Struthio camelus: one gene and its partner. The protein of the gene in region 1 binds, or shares a complex with, the protein of each later gene. Links are inferred from orthologs where the notes say so. Each region holds a gene or a part of one and is shown on either strand. Other genes may lie near its edges. The genes, in order: CD40 and CD40LG.

What was found.
Region 2: the proteins of CD40 (region 1) and CD40LG are in contact, whole or in part, in a crystal structure (PDB 3QD6), measured with the Homo sapiens proteins. The link is inferred for Struthio camelus from reciprocal best matches to the Homo sapiens genes CD40 and CD40LG. Residues at the interface, in NP_001241.1 of Homo sapiens: Glu64, Ser65, Glu66, His76, Cys77, Gln79, Tyr82, Asp84, Asn86, Leu87, Trp109, Cys119; in NP_000065.1 of Homo sapiens: Ile127, Glu129, Ala130, Lys143, Gly144, Tyr145, Tyr146, Cys178, Pro217, Cys218, Gln220, Ser245, Gln246, Ser248, His249, Gly250, Thr251, Gly252.

The regions. Positions count from the first base shown.
Region 1 is NC_090959.1:19,464,517-19,474,326, forward strand, and holds the start of CD40 (tumor necrosis factor receptor superfamily member 5), read left to right. Parts: upstream 1-5,767; 5' UTR 5,768-5,918; coding exon 5,919-5,966; intron 5,967-7,839; coding exon 7,840-7,921; intron 7,922-8,443; coding exon 8,444-8,569; intron 8,570-8,655; coding exon 8,656-8,799; intron 8,800-8,957; coding exon 8,958-9,057; intron 9,058-9,810. Other genes in the region: NCOA5 (nuclear receptor coactivator 5), read right to left, coding at 1-110.
Region 2 is NC_090952.1:23,042,278-23,052,237, forward strand, and holds the start of CD40LG (CD40 ligand), read right to left. Parts: upstream 4,490-9,960; 5' UTR 4,403-4,489; coding exon 4,247-4,402; intron 2,614-4,246; coding exon 2,476-2,613; intron 1,577-2,475; coding exon 1,531-1,576; intron 1,364-1,530; coding exon 1,316-1,363; intron 1,057-1,315; coding exon 994-1,056; intron 1-993. UniProt on the Homo sapiens protein: Cytokine that acts as a ligand to CD40/TNFRSF5. Costimulates T-cell proliferation and cytokine production.

The DNA of each region.
Region 1 (9,810 bases):
TGGTCTGTGGGCAAATTGCCGACAAAAAGTCTTCTCTCTAAATCCTGTGGATTGGTGCTGTTAGTGAAGTCGCTCTGTTTGATGCTATTGCTCTTGCGTCCTCGAGCCATTTTGCTTTCGTTCCAAATCCAACTCTTCGCAAAAAAGAAAAATGGCCATGCATATCATTTCAATCCATGACATTAAAATTAAACTGGAACAAGATTAAACTTAACAGCTTTGCAGACTAGAAGCCAACTGGGTCTGCTTGACGCAAGCTTCACTCCAGCGGAATCTTTATACAAGGGATACAGAAATCTGGCAAAAATGGATACTGCACCATTTTGGTTCAGCTTTTCTGTATTGTCAAAAGGCAGTAAGCCTATTCTATTTTGAAGATATGTTTTAATGATTCAGCGCCAAACTGAAATACAAATAAAACTTGTTTTCTACTGAAAAGTTTGAATTAAGATTTAATACATCCATTACTGACATATCTATTCCCTCAGTTCACTGGTAAGAAGTGTTGACACTTATGTAATATTTTAATAAGCAGAAAGGAAACTCATCTTGACAGCACATAATGGGACCCAAAATATTTCAGTATAGGCTTTGAATGAGATAAAAAAGCAGGTTTTAAAGGCTCTTAAGTGACCATACTTGGATCACTTCACCAAACCTGACGTCTTAGCTTTACAGTAACAGAAAACACAATTTCTCATTCACACCAATACTAAACAACATATCTTTGTGCCCATCAAGATGTCAACTCCTACTGAAGTCGGGTCCACAGCTGGGAATTTAGCCACAACCACATAAATGCAGTATTGTTAACTCATTCCACTAGTACTATGAAGTTTAATTTTGTTAACCTATATTATTGCAGACAAAGCTGGAGCAATCAGCAACACTCACTGCACACACCTACCGAAATAGTCTCAGCTAAGATACTCAGGATTCATACTTTCTGCTTTAAAAGCCACTATAGCATAAAACTTAGAAAGAGGAAAAAAACACTGAAACTTGCAAGCCAAACTTGCAAGACTGAAAGCTATTTAATAAAATAAGGTTGTCATCCTTTCCAAACATTCATCTACAGGAGTGCAGGGTTGAGACTGTCTGTTTATAGGGATGGAAGTAACCTGAAAAAAAGCTCATGAGGTTAAATCGAGCACATCAACAAAACTTTCTACTGTTAATCATGAGGTACTCTATAACCAGCACACTCCCTAACAATAAACTAAGTTGACTACTATTTAAAAGTAGCTTCTAAACAAGCATGTCAAACTTCTTAAATTATAAGACAATTTTACAGTGCTAATTAGCATGAGAAATAAATCTACTCCAGGATTTGAGACTAAGATCCATCAACTCTACATTCATATCACTTTTCTCCTTCTTTTAGGAAGCCCTGTGGAAAAGCAGGGGAGAGAACACCTCCCAGTCTAATTGTCTTCTTAAAAGTGAACGGAGTTGCTAAAACAGGGCGGTGGTTAAAACAAACAAACAGTTCTTATACCATAGTTGTGTCAACATCTTCCTGCAAGGCCAGTTTGTTCTCCCCTGTCATCTTTACTTTCCCCATCAGAAGTTTCAAATCTTGACCCCTTTTTCTTTACAGGGGCACTACAGCGTTTTCTTCTATTCTGCTGTTGCAGCTTAAGTTCTCATCAGTTGAGGGGAGAACAGCCTTCATATAATAAGTTAGAAGAGACCTCTGGAGGTCATCTAGTCCAACTCACACTCTAAGCCAGACCAACTTCTAAGTTAGATCCAGCTGCTCAGGACCTTGCCCAGCTGAGCTCAGAACATTTTCAAGAACAGAGATTCCACAGCCACTGTGAGCACCTCATCATAAAACATCACCCGTGTTTGCAATCTTGAGATACCATATCTACCCTAAGCACCCATCAGCAAAATGTGCAATACCTGTGGGCAGGACATTTTAATTCAGTGTCAAAAACAGTAAAAGACTCTTATCTTTTTCTTCTGGGGTGGCAATGAGAAGGGGTCGCTGGCAGAAGAGAGGGTAAGAACTTTCTATATGAGGAAAAATTGGAATATTTTCCAACTTGCTGGTGGCTTAGAAAATAAAGCAACAAATCCCAAACACTAATCCACAGCGAATTAGTAGAGGGCTTTCACCTAGAAGTATCTACTGCTACTCACCATTTCCCACCCAGTGGAACAAGTGGTTAAGGGTCATTTAATAATCATGAGAGCAGAAGTGAATGCCATCCCAGCTTTAGGCATGCTACACCAGGGAAGTTAATAATGTCACTACTAAGTCTCTTTCTAAGACTTTAATCAAAGAAGCTGAACACATAGCTAGATAGTTTAAAGACAATGATACTCCAGTGCACAAAGGGACCATCAGACCCGGCAGGTTACCACAGAAGAACAGCTACCGTTAGCTCACCTGCCAGTAAATTCCCCACAAGTTAATTAACATCATGTCTCTCTCTCTAAAACTGTAAATTTAAAAACAAAGTTTTATTTCACTAGTAGCGCTACAACTTCAGAACGCGAGACACAGTTGAAGCGGGACACCGAAACCGATTTGGCGCAACGGAAACATCATGCGCAAGTCTGTGAGAAGTTCCTGGGCAATGCCAAAAAAAGAGAGAGAGGAAAAAACACACCCAAAGCAAAAGAACAAAAAGAACAAAAACACAACGCAGGCACCAAACGCAGCGGAGAGCGAGTTTCACCTCCGCCCCGGGCCGCGGCTCACGGTGCAGCCCGGCCAGGCAGGGCGGCTCTCCCGGTGCGCGACCGGGGCAGGGGCGGGAGCCGGGCCGGACCGGGCCGCGGCGCCTCCGGCACGGCCGCAGCGCAGCGCAGCGCAGCGCAGCCGCCGCCCCCGCGGCGCCCCGGCCTCGCCCGGCGCGGCGCGGCCCGGCCGCCCGCGCTGCCTTCAGGCCCGGGCCCGGGCCGAGGCGAGACCCGCCGCGCCCCGCGGCGGCGGCGCCGAGAAGGACGCAGACGCTCCGCGAGGTTTGCTGTGGTACGTCTTTATTCGAGCACGCCGCGCCCCTCATAAAGCCGCGCCCGCCGCGGGGCCCCGCACCGCCGCGCACTTACCGCCGCGCCGGGCCCGCGCCGCCGCCCGCCGCCGCCCGCCGCCGCCCGCCAGGACAAAGGCGCCAACCGCCGCTGCCGCACGGCGCTGTCGCAACGAACGGGCGGAAACGCCGCCGGAAGGGCGCCGCCCCGCGCTTTACGGCGCGGCGCGCTGGCGGGCGGCCGCCCCGGCTCCCGGCGTGCCCCGCGGCCGCCGCGAGGCGTGACGGGAGTCGTAGTCCCGCGGCCGGCGGGGCCGGCAGCCGCCAGGCGGCGCCGCGGGAGCCCCGGCGGCTTCGGGCGGGGCGCTGCGCCCGCCCCGCCCCGCCCGCCCCCGGCCCGCCCCCGCCCCCGGCCCGCCCGCCCCTGGCCGGCCCCGCCCCTGGCCGGCCCCGCCCCGCCCGCCCCTGGCCGTCCCCGCCCCGCCCGCCCGGCCCCGGTCCCGGCCCCGGCCCCGCCCCGCCCCGCCCGCCCGCCCCCGCCCGCCCCCGGCCCCGGCTCCGGCCCCGCCGCCCGGAGCCCGGAGCGTCCCCTGCCCTCGGCTGCCGGCCGGCGGGGCCGCCGGGCGGGGGGTCTCCCCGCCGGGCCCTGCTGGCCGCGCCGGTGGCGCCGGGCTGCCCGCGGGAGCGAGGGCCCGGGGCTGCGGGGACTTCCCGGGCCGCTCCCTGCCGGCCGGCCCAGAAATCCCCGGCCGCCGCCGCCCTGCGCCCTCCTCGCTCCCCTGGGACCGCTCGGGCTTTCGAGCCCGTCAGTTTTGGGAAACGACGGCGGCGCGGGGAATCCGGGGCGCGCGGGAGCGGCGGGAGGCCGTGGGGCTGCCCTCGCCGCCCCGGCCCCGGCCCCGGTGTGGGGCCGTCGCCCCCGGCAGCCAGGCTCGGGCGCGGCTGTGCCGCCCGGCGAGGAGCCGGCGCCGGGCAGCGCGAGCGGTCGGACCAGGGCCGGACTGGCACGGGGCGACCGCGGGCCGGGCAGCTGTGTTGCTGCGGGGCTGCTGTGTGGGGCGTGACGGTCACAGTGTGGCCCTGGGGCAGGACGTGGCGGTGGGATGGGACACGGCCATGGGGGGGGATGTGGTGGTGGGATGGGACATGACTGCAGCGTAGCCATGGGATGGGAGCTGGCGGTGGGACGGGATGTGGCCACAGTGTACCTGTGGGATGGGACGTGGCAGTGGGACTGGATGTGGCCATGGGATGGGACATGGTGGTGTGATGGGACATGGCAGTGGGACAGGACATGGCGGTGTAATGGGTCATGGCCATGGGATGGGACATGGCGGTGTGATGGGTCATGGCCATGGGATGGGACATGGCCAGAGCATAGCTGTGGGACAGGACGCGGCAGTGGGACGGGACGTGGTGGTGTGATGGGACATGGCTGCAGCGAGGCGGTGGGACGGGACGTGGTGGTGTGATGGGACGTGGCCGCAGCATGGAGGTAGCATGGGACATGGCTGTGGGATGGGACATGGCTGCAGCACAGCTGCAGGGAGGCTCCGTGTGACTGCGTGTGGGGCACGGAGGGATTCAGAGAAAGCCCGTTTCCTGCCTGGCCACTCACCATGAACTGGAAACAGGAACTCTGGGAAATTCTCCAAAGCAAGGAAATGAGTCTGGAAGTTCCCTGGGGATTGCTCTGGGGAATCCTCGGCAGGGCAGACCCTGCGGCAGCACCCGGCCCCACAGCACTGCTGCCCCTTCCATGTTCGGGGCTGACGTATTTCTGGGGACTCCGTGCGGATGCCGGCCCTGTGGGGAGGGATGGGGGCCACCGTCCTGAATTACCCTTGGGAAACTGAAGTGAAACCTTGAACTTCTGCCTCCAGAATAAGTTAGCAGGGCCAGCACAAACACTTTCCTCCGCGTGGCCCACCGGTGAGTCCTGCCCTCAGCCGCGCACCCGGGCGAGGTGCGGGCGGCCCGGCAGGCACATGGAGCGGGCAGGGAGCTGGGCGCACAGCCGGGCCCGGGTCCTCACGCAGAGCCACCACGGGAGGAACCGGCGGGTCCGACCCCGGCTGCTCCCTGCTGCCCCGGGCAGGGGCGATGCCGGGCCAAGCTGCCGGGCTGGTGCCCTGCAGGGTCGGCGGCAGGATGACTGAGGCGGGTGCGCGTCCCGCTGCGCCGGTGCTGCCGCGTGCCGGCCGCGTGGCTCTCCGGGCTGGGGTGCGGGGCCAGCCGGGCACGGCGAGCCCTGCGGGGTCTGTGCCAGCGGGATTCCCCTGCCCGGGGACTCCCTGGCTGCTCTTCCGCTGCTCTGCGCGGCCAGCGGAGCCTGGCGCCGGGGCTCCCCGCCGCAGCGCCGCTCACTGAGCATCACCGGGCAGACCAGGGCTGAGGGCACGGGCGCTCCTGGGGCCCGGCGAGCCGGCACCCGCGGGACACCGAGGTGGGCAGGAGCACGAGAGCGGCGCTGGGCAGGAGGGCTCCCGTCATCTCGGTGCAGCGGGCTCTGCCGCCCCTGCCCGTCAGACCCGGGGGGACAGACCCGTCGCCCCCTGCTCTCCGCCCCGAGCAGGGCTCTGCCCTACGTTCCCGGGGGCCGGGGCTCGCCGCCCCGCGGGGACCGGCCGAGGCCGCGCGAGTGGCTCCCGTTGGTGGGACCCGCCGGGCAGCCCCGGCCGGAGCGGGCTGCACCTCCCGCCCGCGGTGCCGGCCCCTCGACGTCCCACGCCGGGGAAGTCCCCGAGGCGAGCGGCTGCCGCCTGAGCACGCCCGCCACTGCGAGGGGGCGTTGGCAGCAGCCTGCGCCAAACAGCGTGTGCTCCGCGAGCCGAGGATGGGCGGCCCTACGTCCCCTTCCTGGGCGGAAACGGGCCGAGGCGTTATTACGGACTGCTCCGCCGCCCCCGCAGCGGCTGCGGGACGCTCAACGCCATGAAGCTGCTCGGACTCCTCTGGCTCCTCTGCGCGGTGCTCTGGGGCGTAAGTGCTGCTTCCCGCCCAGGCTGCGCACCGGCGCCGGCGGCCCCTTCCCACGGCGGCCGGCCGCGGCCCGCGGGGACCGGGCCGGGGCTGGGCAGGGCCGGGCGGCTGCGCGGGGAGCGATGCCGGGCTGCCCCTGCCCGCCCGCTGCGGGGGGAGCGATGCCGGGCTGCCCCTGCCCGCCCGCTGCGGGGGGAGCGATGCCGGGCTGCCCCTGCCCGCCCGCTGCGGGGGGAGCGATGCCGGGCTGCCCCTGCCCGCCCGCTGCGGGGGGAGCGATGCCGGGCTGCCCCTGCCCGCCCGCTGCGGGGGGAGCGATGCCGGGCTGCCCCTGCCCGCCCGCTGCGGGGGGAGCGATGCCGGGCTGCCCCTGCCCGCCCGCTGCGGGGGGAGCGATGCCGGGCTGCCCCTGCCCGCCCGCTGCGGGGCAGAGCGCGCAGCGCGGGCGGCAGCGCGGGGGCCGGGACCGCGGCACGGCGTGACACCCCGGCCAGGGCCGGCCCGGCCCCGCAGGGCTTTCCAGGAAGGCAGCGCCGGCCGCGGCGCCCTCGGGCCGCCCGTCCCTGCCCCGTGGGCCGTCCCGCGGGAACGCTCCCCGCGCCGGGCCGGGAGGCGCTGGGGGTCGGGCAGGACCGGCCGAGGCCAGCGCCGCTGCCGCCGCGCTGGGAAAGCCGTAAAGGAAATCCTGGCCGGGAGCCCTGCGCCCGGCTCTCGCTTCGAGACACAAAAGTTTATTGTTCCTCATTTTTGTGGCTGGGAATTTCCCAGCAAGCGCTCAGCTTCTCGGCACCCTCCCACACGCGCTCGCCGCGCCGTGCCCCCGGGACCCCCACTGCCCGTGCCCGGCCGGTCCCCGTCCCGGCGCCGCTCTCTGCCCGGGGAGCGGGCGCCCCGACGCCCCGCGGACCCGGCGCCGCTCTGCCGCCAGCCCGGTGCTGCCCGGTCGGGGCGCAGCCGCGCTGGGCCGGGGCGCCGAGCGGCCGAGCCCCCGGCACAGGGCGCACGCAGCCCGGCACGCAAAACGGCGCGGGCCTGAGAGCCCCTTTCGGTTCCCTTTCCTGCTACGCAAGAGAAACGCAGGGTGTCGGGCTCCCTCGGGGCCGGTTTCCCTCCGCCGGCCGGGCGCCCGACGCCAAACCTCGCGGCGCCCCCAGCCCCTTTGCCTCCCTCCGCCCCTCGGCGGAGCAGCCCCACGGGACCCCCACGCCGGCCGCGGCGCCCCTTGCTCCCGGCCCTCCCCCAGCCTCGGACCCCGCGGCCCCGCCGGCCCCTCCGTCCCCTCCGCCCGGGCTGGCGCCCACCCGGCTGGGAACGGCCACCGGGCTGGGGCTGCCCCGTGCCGGGCCGGCTCCCCCGCGGGCCGCTCCACTCCCTCCCGCGGCCAGGCTGGCCCCAGGGCTGAGCCCCGGGGTCAGGGGCTGCTCCTGCCTCCCCCGCTGCCTTCCCCTGCCCGCGGGGAGCGAGGCAGGGCTCTGGCCGGCTTCGTGCCCACCAGGCGCCGGCCCAGGGCTTCGCTGCCCCTCGGAGCCGAGCGCCGGGAAGGGGCAGGGGACGCGCGGTTGGCGCTGCTGCCCCTGCCCGGGAGCGCAGGCTGTTGGCAGCGGCGGGGCGCAGAGCGCTGTGCAGTCACCACCCGTTAGGAAGTGTGGGGAAACATTGCACCGGAATTGCTGCCATCCCACTTCAAACGGCGCACTGGCGGCAGGCGGCGGCGCAGCCGGCTCGGCTGCGGTCTGTGGTTAGAGCGGCCCCGGGAAGGGGCTGCAGGACCGCCTCGCCTCGGGACGCGGGCGCAGCGCTGGCCGCCTGCGGGAGCCAGGCTCCCGGCGGGCACCGGGGAGCAGCGCGGACTCCCAGGCCTCTTCTTTTCCAGTGCTGGCAGCCTGTCGACACCGTAAAATGCTCTGAAAAGCAGTATGAGCACAAGGACAAGTGCTGCAACCGGTGCCAGCCAGGTACGGAGACCCTTCCCCTTCGGGTGAGCCCCCGAGCCCGGGCCGTGGCCGGGACCCGGGCGCCTGGTCCCCGCTTGAGCCCCGGGCCGGCTCCAGGGTGGCCAGAGCCGCCTCACCCCATCGCCGGCCGCAGCCCACAGCTTCGCTTGCGTTTCGCCTTCGTGCCAGAGCGGCTGGGGACCTCACGGGACCCTGATAGACCCTGGACCTGCCCCATCTCGCTCGCGCTGCCTGTGCTCCCGCGGCCCGCAGCACCCGGCGGCCCGGGCAGCCTGCAGGCAGAGCGCTCCCGCCGGCGCCGCACCCGCTGCCAGCTCCCTTCCCGGGCCGTTCCCCAGGCCTTGGCCCACGGAGAGCGCGGACGGCCCTCCCGGCCCTCCCGCTGTAGCCCCCGGCGCCGCCAGCCGCCGAGCCCACGGCCGGAGCAGCGCCCGGCCGGCCAGCCGCAGCCGCCAGCGCCCCCCCCGCGTCCTGCCGGCAGAGCTGTGGCGCTGCCCCCCCCACAACCAGCCTCGCTTGCAGGGAAAAAGCTGGTCTCCGAGTGCAACGGCACGGCGGAGTCCCTCTGCGACGCCTGCGAGAGCGGACACTACCAGCAGGGCTGGACCAAGGAGAGGCACTGCAACCCGCACGACATCTGCGAGGACAGTGAGTGTCCCTGCGCCCGCGGCTGCGCCGGGGCGGTCGCCCGCGTCCCGCTGGTGCCTCACCCCCGTCTTGCTCCTCCCGCCCAGACGCCGGCCTCGTGGTGAAGACGGAAGGGAACGCCACGCACAACACGGTGTGCCAGTGCCGGGCCGGCATGCACTGCTCCGACGCCAGCTGCCAGACCTGCGTGGAGAACCCGCCCTGCCAGCGGGGCGCTGGCTTTGTGGCAGGTGAGACGGGCCCGCTCCTCCCCTCTCCGCTGGACCGGGAGAGGGGTGTGCCGCCAGCCGGGTCCTGCTGGCAGAGCTTCGGGAGAGCTCCGGCCTCGCCGCCCTCGCCCCAGCCCGCGGCCCCGTTCTGACCTGCCGCAACCCCTGCTCCTTTGCAGCCAAGGCCGCGGCCCGGACCTCGTCCCCCTGCGAGCCCTGTGCCGAAGGCACCTTCTCCAATGTCTCGTCTAAAACGGAGCCGTGCTACCCCTGGACAAGGTACAGCCCCGCACCCCGTCCCTGCCTGTGCCCATCTCCGCGAGCACGTCCCTTGCTGCCAGTGACTTTTGGGGCCGCGAGGGCCCCATGGCTGGGATGCTTTTTGGGGGGGCAGCATCAGGCTGGCATGGGGCCGGAGAGAGGGGAGCAGCAGCCGTGGGCACGGCGAGGTCGGGGTGGCGCAGCCGAGCTGGAGGCAGACACGGGGGCGCTTGCACCGTCCCTCAGTGCCAGTGCATCATGCTGGGGGCCCAGCATGGGCCGCAGCGTGAGGGGCTGCGGAGACCCCCATCCGGCACGGCTCTCCCTCCTGGCACACTCCCTGGCTGCAAAAATTGGGCTGAGGCACCAGCCGTCTCTGCAGGGAGCGGGAGCCTGGCGTCGAGGATGCCGCGGGCTGGCAGAGCTCCCCTGTCTTTAGGAAGCTGCTCAAGGGTTAATTGCACTCCCTGACAGAAGCCTGTGCCTTGTTTCCAGGCTGAATTAGTCTCGCTTCAGCTGCCAGCCATTGGATTTCACTTTGCTTTTATCTGTGCCCAGAAATTACCTCCCTGTGGAGCCACTTGTAGCCTGTCATCAAGTTGTCTCCAAACCGTTCTGGAATAGCTAAAGTGCCCAAGGCCCAGGGCATCACGGCCAGGGCAGGGTTCAACCCCGTTCCCTCCTCTGCCTCCTCCCTGAACACGTCCCCATCTGCAGCAGCTCCTGCATCCCGGTCCGGGACCCTGGAGCGGGACGTGCTGTGCCCGGCCG
Region 2 (9,960 bases), on another chromosome or scaffold:
GACCCGGGCCGCCGTGCCCGCGGCTTTCGCTGGCCCGACCTCCAAGGCCTCCCAAAACGCACGCCGGCGCCTGCATTCAAACGCGCCCATCCCAGGGCACACGGTTGTTTCCAAGCTGGGTGCCGCTTTGCCACCCAAGCGCCTCCTCCGCTCGGCCTCCGCCGGCTCCTGGAGAAGGTGAGACTTCACCGAGGAAGTCCAAAAATAATCTTCCCACGGTTTCGGTGCGGGGCCGCGCAGGGACACCACCGCAGCCGGGGGCCGCGGCTGCGCATCCCACTGCGACGTTTCCTCCGTCCCCGGCTGCTGCGCCTCGCGCTCCGGGCAGCCTTTTGGGCTCTGCTTTACAACCTCAACAAATGCTTAAGCAGGGAGTCTGAAAATGCAGCGAGCTTCTCGCTCCTTTGATCTTATCTAAGACTTAAGCTTTGCACAGGTAGACCGAGCTCTGGGTGAATTGCTGCGTCAGAGATGGAAAGAGCAGCTGCGAATTACTGGCAGTTACTCCAGAATTAAATCGGAGGCGCTCAGACTGAGAAATCCTTCCGAGGCCGAGCGGCGGCCCTCGCGCGCGCCTGTGGCGAGCCTCGCTGCGCCGGCCTCGGCTCTGCCGGCACGAGCCGCCTGCTTTTCGCCAGCCTGACCTGACCACAGCTGTGATGAAGTGCAGCTTGCCCACATCAGCCGCGGTCCAGGCTAGGGCTGTCCGCAGGCCACCAGACCGTCCCGCAGCAGCCGCGCTGGCGTGATGCGGCCCCGCAAGCGAAAGCGGCTCGTTTCCAATCCAAGAGGAAAAGCAGAGCTCGGTTCCCTTAACTCCAACCAGAATAAGCGTGCCTCACCGTAAAAACTAAACCGTTGTGCGTTTCCAGGCAAATCTAAGGAAGGCCACCGAAAGCGGCCGGCACGGGGCGCGCAGACCTCGCGTGGGGCAGCCTGCGACCGCGGGGCAGGACTGCCGGGGGGCCGCCGGGTCTGGCAGGCGCATCGTACCTGAGACCGCCTTGCTGCTCTTGGCCCCCGCCAGGTGGGCTGCGATCGGCTGCCTCTTCTCCGCTGCAACGGGGAAAGGCCGGGGTTATTCGCGCCTTGCTGTCCCCCTTCGGCAGCACAGCTGTGCTGGCATCGCAGCCCTCCCCTAGGCTTGCCCGTTTCTCTATGGGCCAAATCCGGCTCCGAAGCCCCCCCATCCCCGAGCGAGGCAGGATCCGGCCCCGCTCAGCCCAGTCCGCCTGGGAGCGGGATTCCCGGGCGGAGGAGAGCGCGCAGCATCGGCCCCGCCGCGGGAGCAGCCCGCGCCGGCCCCGCGCCTCACCTGCCACCGACGTCTCGTTCTTGCCCTTCGAGTGGGAGTGCTCATGGCCTGCAACGGGAAAAGGCCGGGGATTGAATTTCGGGTTCGTTTCCATCGGCTTTGGGCAAAGCGGCGCTCGGAGCGGCCGGCCCCCGGCCCCCGTGCGAGCCTTGCCCGGCACCCGGCTCCGCCGGCCCCGCGCTCGGCCCGTCCGCGAGCGCCGCTGGCAAACTCACCTTTCTGCATTTCGAACTTGGGGCGCTCCTCGCTGACTCCGCCGTCCTGCAACAGCAGGGGGGAAAAAAAAAAAAAGAAATTTAAGATATACCGATCGAAAGGTTTCAAAGCCTCTGTGCAAAGGATGCTTTGGCCCCCGCAGCCCTGCTGCTGGTGGCAGAGGGTACCCGAGCCCACCGAGCCCCTCCGACAGCTCCCGCAGCATCACACGCAGCGCAGCCTGCTTGAAGGGCTTCTGCTCTTCGGCTTTATGCCATTCAAACGCTGAGACAGGGGAAGTTTTTTTGAAAACAAAGCGAAAACCCCTTTTCAGGCTGTTGAAACACCACGCCTGGGAGCCACGCTGGGGGGCCGTGTGTGCTCCCCGGCCAGCTGTGCCTGGCCCCGCCGCGCGCCCCGCCGGGTTTCGGGACGGCTCAGATGGGCCCGTCTCATAGTTTGCTGTTGTCGGCCGGGTGCCGCTGCCGACGTGACCCCCACTGGCTTTGCCGGGGTGCAGCGGCGGATGCCCTTGGCGTGCACGGGCCGCGCGGCAGAAGCGCCCCTGCCCTCTCGGCGCAGCCTTCGCCAACAGCGCCTGCAGCGCGGAGCGGGCTGGGAGCGCCCCGTCCTGCCCCGTCACCGAGGCCGGGCAAGGTGGGCGTATGGGCGCCCTCGCACCCCCCCGGCAGATGCTCCGAGCGGGGAGCCAGGCGGGATTGAGGGCAGAGCCGGGCTTTGCCGCCGGCCGCCCGCGCCGCCCGCTCTGCCCCGGGCTCCCGGGCTGCGGCTCCGACGCTCCGCCGGCCCCCGCACAGACACTGCCTATGTACGCTCTTGCCGAGAGCGTTTTGGGAAAACAGTTTAAAAAAGGACACCCGTGGTTTTGAATAAAGCTGTGCGTGTGTTTCTGGGAGCCCCCCTCCACCGCCAGCAGGGTCTCTATCCGGCTAACAGCAGTCTACCTTGCACTGGAGATCCTGGAAGCCTCTTAAAATCTTATCACAGTCCAATAAAGTCGATTTCCGACCTTCTGCCGTCTGACATTTCTGTACTTTCCGCAGGAAGACGTAATCTTCATTTAAGCTCAAGGCTTCTTCCATCTGCCGGCGAGGGAAAGGAGAGAGGGTAAACGGGGTGTTACTGGGAAGGGTGCAGCAGCCGGGGGCCGGAGCCGGGCTACAGCCCCTCCAGCAATAAAAAGCAGCCGGCAAAGCTCGGTGTCAGCCCTTCAGCGCCAGGGTCAGACGCACCAGGGTGGCGCGCGCAGCCCCGAGCCCCCAGCGCGGAGCAGGCACCACTGGGGCCGGCGGCACCGCGGGAACCACGCCGCCGGGGCTCATCCCGGCGAGGGGCAGCGGGCAGCAGGATCGCTCGGGATCCTGGCCAGACCCCTTTTCTATCACCTCTTCAGTCAAATTCTCCACTCCACCCTCTCCAAAAGGCAGGTGGCAAAAGTTTGCCTGATGGGCTTTACGGACCCAGGCACGGGGACGGCAGCAAGGGGCTGGGGGCTGGCTCGGGCCCCCGCTCCCGCCGGCCGCAACCGGGGCACCCCGGGGCCAGGGCCGCCCTGGCCAGAACTGCGCTGCTTTCTGGCAGCGAGTTTATTGACAGCGAAAAGTTTCTAAGAGACTGAACTGACCGGTGAACTGGGGCTGAATTCTGCCCAGAGTTTCAGAGTAAAAAAAAAAAAAAAGAGAGAGATTAGGAAAAAAATTAGAACGCCAAGAAAAGAATTGAAATTTTTTAAAAAAAGGAACTGATTTGTGAAATGACATCTGGGTTAAAAAAAAAAAAAACCCTAACATTTATCTGAGCAACAGAAAGAACCGCAGGCAGATGTGCGGACGGAGAGTCCCGGGCTGGCCAAGAGCTCGACCCGGGCAGTGCTGGGCACCCGGGGCCGGGTTTGGCATCCGGCCGCGTGCACCGAAACCCTCCTGCTGCCGGGGACCCCGCTTCATCTCCCGCTCCTCCGAAAGGGCGCTGCGCTGCAGCTGGTAAGGAGAACTCATTCTGGGTTTTATACCCGTTTAGTTTCTTTAAGTGGTAGGTTTCTCTTTTTTTGGAGGAAAATACTTTTAGGAAAATGCTTATGAGCGTTGTATGGTGCAGCGGGAGTCATGGCAACCTTTAAAGCTACTTTTCAGTATTGAATTTTTTGGTAAGTATTGTCCCAGGTGCAGGACAGGATCGCTGATAAAGTGTCTCTTTAGAAAAGACTAAGTATTAAGATCTGCTCTTTTCTTCCCGGAGCATAAAGACAACATCTGAAGTGAAGTCTGCAATATTATCACATGAAAACGTTTTAAAAAGTCATTTCTGGACCCCTTTCTCCTTGGTGTCACAGAGCCGCCAAGTTCTGTGGGACCAGACAAACCACCAAGTAGCTCCCCAAAAGCCTAAAATAACCACTCATGTGTTTAAGCCACGCTCTCCTCGCCTCAGCTCTGGCCGGACCAACTGCTCGGTTTGCTGTTAATGGCTTTTCGTTATTGATCCAGTCTCGTTTTGTTAAGGGAGGGAACAAATCTCTCGTCATCAGCACACATCTTACTTAGCAGCAAATTAAAGCAGAAACAAGAACGCGGGTGCAATAAATGCCTCTCCTGTGTCAGTCCAGTGGCCGGCATTGCCTGGTACCATTTTCACCTTTGTGTTTCTCAGGTCTCTCCGCGCTGAAGGCAAATCATGTTAGCAATCCAGCAGACCCGACTTTATTTCGACACTTACCTTATCCATCTTCATGTGAAGATATAAACAGAACAGTACAGTCCCAATCATCTGTGCTACAATAAATACTGTGAGGAAGCACATGAACATTTTCATGGTGCTGGGCGAGGTGCTGCTCATGGGTCTGGGTGCTGCAGGGCTGTAGGGTTCATTCATCCTCCGGGCAGGCTGCTGGGTCTCCCTCGTCAAACGCACTGCTTGCACGTAGCATGAGAACTGTTGTGTGAGCAGCCGCTACTCAAGGGATACAGGTTGCAGCAACCTACACTTCCTGGAAAAAACCCTTCGTAGTGGGTAGGTTTGTTCACGACTGTCTCCCACAACAAAAAAAAGGTTGCTTAGACTTTCTTCTCTTGTGCACTTCCATGCTTTTTCCTACCGTCCTACCAGAAGCAGTTAGAAATTCTTATTCCATGTATTCATATTTGCCTTCGAAACACTCCAGACTGTGCCCCAATGATTTTTTCCTATCGTGGATGAATGTTTCGCAGCTGACTGTCTTTAAAGAAACGAAGACCGCAAATCCACGGGCAGAGCTGCTGAGGTGCAGCGTGGGCTGCCAGGGCTTAGGAAGCACGTGGAAAGCTGGTCGTTTCTCAAGAGGGGAAGAAAGTCCTTTTGCTCTCTGGTTCCTTCACTGAGGAGGATGAGTTTGCAGTTAAGCCGCTTGGCTAAGGCGGGTGGGCTGTGCTGGCTTCTGGACTTGCCTTGTGCTCTGCATGGGTGAAGGCACAGCAGGTTTCTGCCCAGTTAGATGGGGTGCTCCTGGAGCAAGGCCATCTCTACGGGCCCCGGGAGCCCAGCGTGCGCCCAGCCTCCATGCTCCTTGACGGACAGCAGGTCTTTGGGTCTCGAGGCTGCCTCTTGGCCCTCTGTTTGGAGAGACAAGTTTTCAGCAGCTTTCGCAGTACCTCAGTGAGGTGCTCACCCTGCATCCAAGAGCACAAGTATGCTCAGACAGTGTCCTCACTTATACATGTATAACTATGTCTATTTTCATGGGCATGGAAAGGACTCTTGGGGCAGCTGGGCACTCCTGCCAGCTGCTGACCTCCCTGGGTAGCCTCAAAGCAACCTTGGACAACCTCAACCCTGTGTCCCATGGTGACACTCAGCCTCTGCTTCTCCAGCCAGCACCAGGGGGGTAACATCCTGCCGCCGCTTGCCTTGTCTGCCCAGATTCAGAGCTCCTCAGGGCACCTGGCACTTGTCCGGCCTTGCAGCACTCGTGCGATAATTTCAGATACCTGCAGAGGGGTCCTCACTGCTTGCGACAAGGGGCAGATCTCCCATCCTCCAGGCTAGTGGAAAGAACAAATCTAGGCATCTGCTGGGGCGCAGAGGACAAGAGCTGCACGGCTGCGGCACGAGGCCGGCTGCCTGCAGGGAGGGCTGGGGCTCTGTGTTAAAGGCAGTGATCAAATTGTCGTGTAAAGTTGTTTTGAAAGTAGTATGCTAAAGGCAATGCTCTTATCAGATGTGCATACAGCAAATAAAGGGTAGGATCCTTCTAGAAGCAGCAGGGTGCTGAGCAGGGCACTGCTTTCTGGCAGCCCAGGGAGAGGAGGGGACTCAGCGCCTTGTTGGGTTGCTCAGTGCCTTGCAGGATTGAGTCCAGCATTTGCTGTTGCTGCCTACCCACTCGCTCGCATCCTGTCCTGTGTGGTTAGGGCGCTGTTAGCTGCAGATGCAAACGCTAGTAACAAAGCACAAACAGCTCTGCAACCAAGCCAGCATTTGACCTTGGCAGGTCACCATGTTCCTAAATATAGCACCCAAGTCACAAGCGTACGACAGCACCAGGGGCTTTGCTGGCAGCAACTCAGTGGCTGAGCAGCAGTCGACCAGCGGCCGAGACCTTGCTCAGAGCCCCAGGGCCGTCACCCCTCCAGCACCGGGGGCAGTTTTGGTGCAGGGCTGACAGCACTGGGGCCAGGGGGAGGACAGAGCTGTGCTCCACAGCATTGCCTTGGCTTTCTAGAGGACGCCGGGGGTCCTGCCAGCGGCAGCCCACAGCTCATGCATCTCCCCGTCCCAGGCTTGCCTGGCTCTGCCAGCTCTCCAGGGCAGGACCAGCTTCACAGCCGCGCAGGAACATCATCCCAGAGGGTGCTGAGGACACCCCGTGCTGGGTGGCGAAAGTGGCTCCCCTTGGTATCAGTGGGGCTTTGGACCTGGTCCTTGGCCCAGCCATGCAAGGGATGGAGCCAGCGAGCCACCTGAGGGCAGTGCCAAGCCAGTGACTTCATTCCCTTTTACCCTGCAGCTGGCATCATCTTTGGGAACGCCAGTCCCGGCCACCGCACAGAGCTCTGAGCTGAAACCTGGCACCAAGGCATGACCTCTGCCATGGGGAGTCTGCCACCTTCACAGCAAAAAAAGTCAGTTCATGGTGGCCACCTTTGAAGCCAGTGCACGTGGCAAGGGCCACAGACCCGCTGATATGCAGGGTCTGGGGCACCACTCTGTGGATCACCCTCTTCGCCTGGTCTCCAAAGTCCTAGCGCGATGGCTTAACGTGATGGCAATCATCGACATTTTCCAAGGCTCTTCAGCATTTCTTCCGAATTTAGCAGTCATATTTGGGGAAACTCTTTAAATGAGAAACAAAATGACATGCAAAGTCATTACTTAATACCTTCCCCGAATCCTGAGCATTAAGGTAATCTTGAAATGTGTGAAACCACAGCAATGAGTCGTGCAGAGAACTGCAAGTGAGGTTTTGCAGATATTCCTAAGCCCTGGCTGTCACCTGCAGATGAAACTTGTTTCAAGCAGCTTCTGGATAGCTACCCATCTCCGTTTCACCGAAATGAGAGGAACCTGTAAGTAACACCGGAAACCCCTAGCGCATCGCTATCCGGATAGCACGCACCTTGCTAGGGAGGCCAGAGCTGGGGCTCCTGCTCAGAGGGGCCGGCGAATTCGATGAGGTGACTGGGGAAAGTCTCCGATTATGGGTACCCGATGCAAAACTTCGCAGGAGAGCTGGTGAGCTTGTTCTGGAAACGAGGAAACCGAGACTCGCTAGTCACTAGCGCCCTGACGAACAGAAACGGGTGGAAAATATGACACGGGGAATCCTGGCAGAGCTTCGTCAGCGCACCTCACCGGGAGGGCTGGCTGACAGCTCCTCTTCGGGAAACCATTGCTTCATATCGGCAATCCAGCCTGTCGTCACTCCGCACTTCAGCGCTCGTGGCTGTTGCAGACCTGGCAAGCTGATGTGGGAGCAACCCCTTGGGCTTCCGCTCCCACAGTTTCCTCTACGCCGGGCACAGCAGGAGCAGAGCTGACGGCGTCACACCGCCAAAGAGGTGCTGGCTGCAGAGGAAGGCAGGCTCCTTTGGTCCATCCCGTCACCTTGACCGTCCAACTCCGGAGGACCTGGGAGGACAGAGCAGGGTTTGCTGCATTGTTGGCCCTTGGGGGTACCACGTGGCCCAGGAGACATGCTCTGATGCCCATCTCACTGTTTCACATAGGGCATGGTGGGGATGGGGAGAGACACCCTGTGTCCTCAAGGTCTTGAATAAGGCCAAAATCCGTGTTAGCCTATGCCAGGTCCAGGCAACACTGTGGATGCTCCTCCTTGACCACTTGGCTGCTGTAGACACCAGAGGGAGCATAGCGGAGGGGGCACATCCTTGGGGAAAGAGAGGCATAGTCCATAGACACCCTGGGGAATGGAGAGTAGACCCAACACAGGGGCAAAGAGCCTGCCCACCTGTCATTTCCCAGGGAAGGTGAAGTCTGCTCAGCGTGAGCCCACCACCAAGAAACCAGAAGGGTTTTTCCTTCACCCTTCAGGCTCTCTGAACATAGCTGTACCAGCTGCCTGTGAACCCAAAGTGGCACGGTTCCTACAGCCAGATAACCTCCGACCGAGACGATGGGAAAATGTGATCCATCGCTTGCATTCCTATTGACCTAGTTGCAGTATTTCCGCTGATCAGCAAATTGTCTCCACTGTACTCGGCGCTCAAAGCTTTGTTTACCAAGAAAATATCCGGTTGCCTGCCCCAGTGATCTGTCAAACGCCGGTAGCATTTCTGAATGCAATAAGGTGAAAGCTGATGAAAAGAGAGTGATTTTTCTGGGTGCTCTCTGTGGTTTTGTAACTAGCTATTTAAAATGTGCTGCTTATCCCACATATTCTTTACAATTAACAAAAGTTAGGTATTGAGAACAACACATTCAGAAAGAAGATTTTATTCTGAGTCACAAAAAGCGTTTGCCTATGATGCCGTGGGAGGGATTCAGAAGGGAACCTATGAGATCTACATTAGTCCCTTCAGCACGGGGCTACAGTCAGAAGGGAAAATTGAGCTTTTCCATGTTTTGTTTTGTGATTTCCTTAGGTTTTCCCTCTCCTGCACCCCTGGAGATCTAACGTCTCCAGGATTAACCCTGTCGACAGACAGAAGGCGAGAACAGGTATAGCCATAGCACCACAGCAAACATCACCAGCATCTGGAGAAAGGCTATATTGCAGTTTCCATTCATTTTTTAGCTTGATGTTAATTAGAGAAAGCTTTCAGAGTCTAGAGTAGCAAGAAACTGCCTCGGGAATAGGAGAAAGTGTTATTGCTTGGGATGGTCACATCTCTTTGTGGAAGAAAAGCCCAGGAGAGAGTGGTGGTAGCTACTACCACAGCAGCTGCAGTCAAATCACTCTCTACGAATGGTCCCTCACCCATAGAAACACCTGCGCGGAGGTTATCAAAAGTCTTGGTCTCCAGCAGGTGTGAAGCGAGCCCTCCCAAGCCAGGGCTCGGGCTCGGACTCGTTGGCCTCCAGCCCTGCCACTGGGGAGAGCCAGCAGGCAGCAGAGCCAGGCTGCAGCCCCGGGGGTCTCAGCCCACCATGTCCCGTGGCTCCGCGCCGTCCCCCAGCTCTGATGTGGCCCCTGCTACTTGGGCTAGACCTTTTGGGGGCGCAGGCAGGTCGGGCCAGGGAGCAGAGAGGGACATCTCCCCCTTCCCTGCCACCCCACAGAGCAGCAAAGGGTGATAGAAAAAAGCTGCTGGAGATGGCACCGGGATGCTGCTGTCCCTCTGAGGCGCTCCACTGTTGTCCTTCTCCCAGGACTGTCACCCACCCGGCCTCCTTCCCTCCGTCCGTCCTCCCGCCCCTGCCCTGCCACACCACCCACGGATGCCCCCGAGCCAGCCTTTCCCTAGGGGGCCCAGCCGGATGAAGAGCAGAGAAACAAGCCCCTAGTGATGCCTTGGAGGACGGAGGGCCCCCGGGGGGGGGCCCGGCTCTGGTGCCACATCTGGGCTGCACATCTGGGCTGCAGTGCCAGCCCTGCCACGCCACGGGCGAGCTCGTCGCCGCGACCTGCTGGTGCTGAACCTTATTGAACCCGCGAAACCACAAATCGCGCTAGAAACTTCTTGCTGCGGACGCCTGCGCCTACTGCTCCCGACTTCCTAAAAATAGCGCCGGGCGCGGGGAGCCCGGTGGCACGGCCCCGGCGCTGCCAAACAAGCCCCTGCTGCCTGAGTCAGAGCGGAAGAAAGCAGGAGGCAGGAGCACCCCGCGCGCCCGGCCGGGAGCCACGCGCGGAGGCCCGCCGCCATCAAAGCCGAAGCGAAAGGCACCGGCGAGGCTCTGCCCTTTCATGTCGCCAGAGGAGCGGGGAAGAGCAAAACCTGCGGGAGGCCGCGGGGCCGGCGGCCGCCTCCTACGGCGCGGCGGGCCGCGGTGGG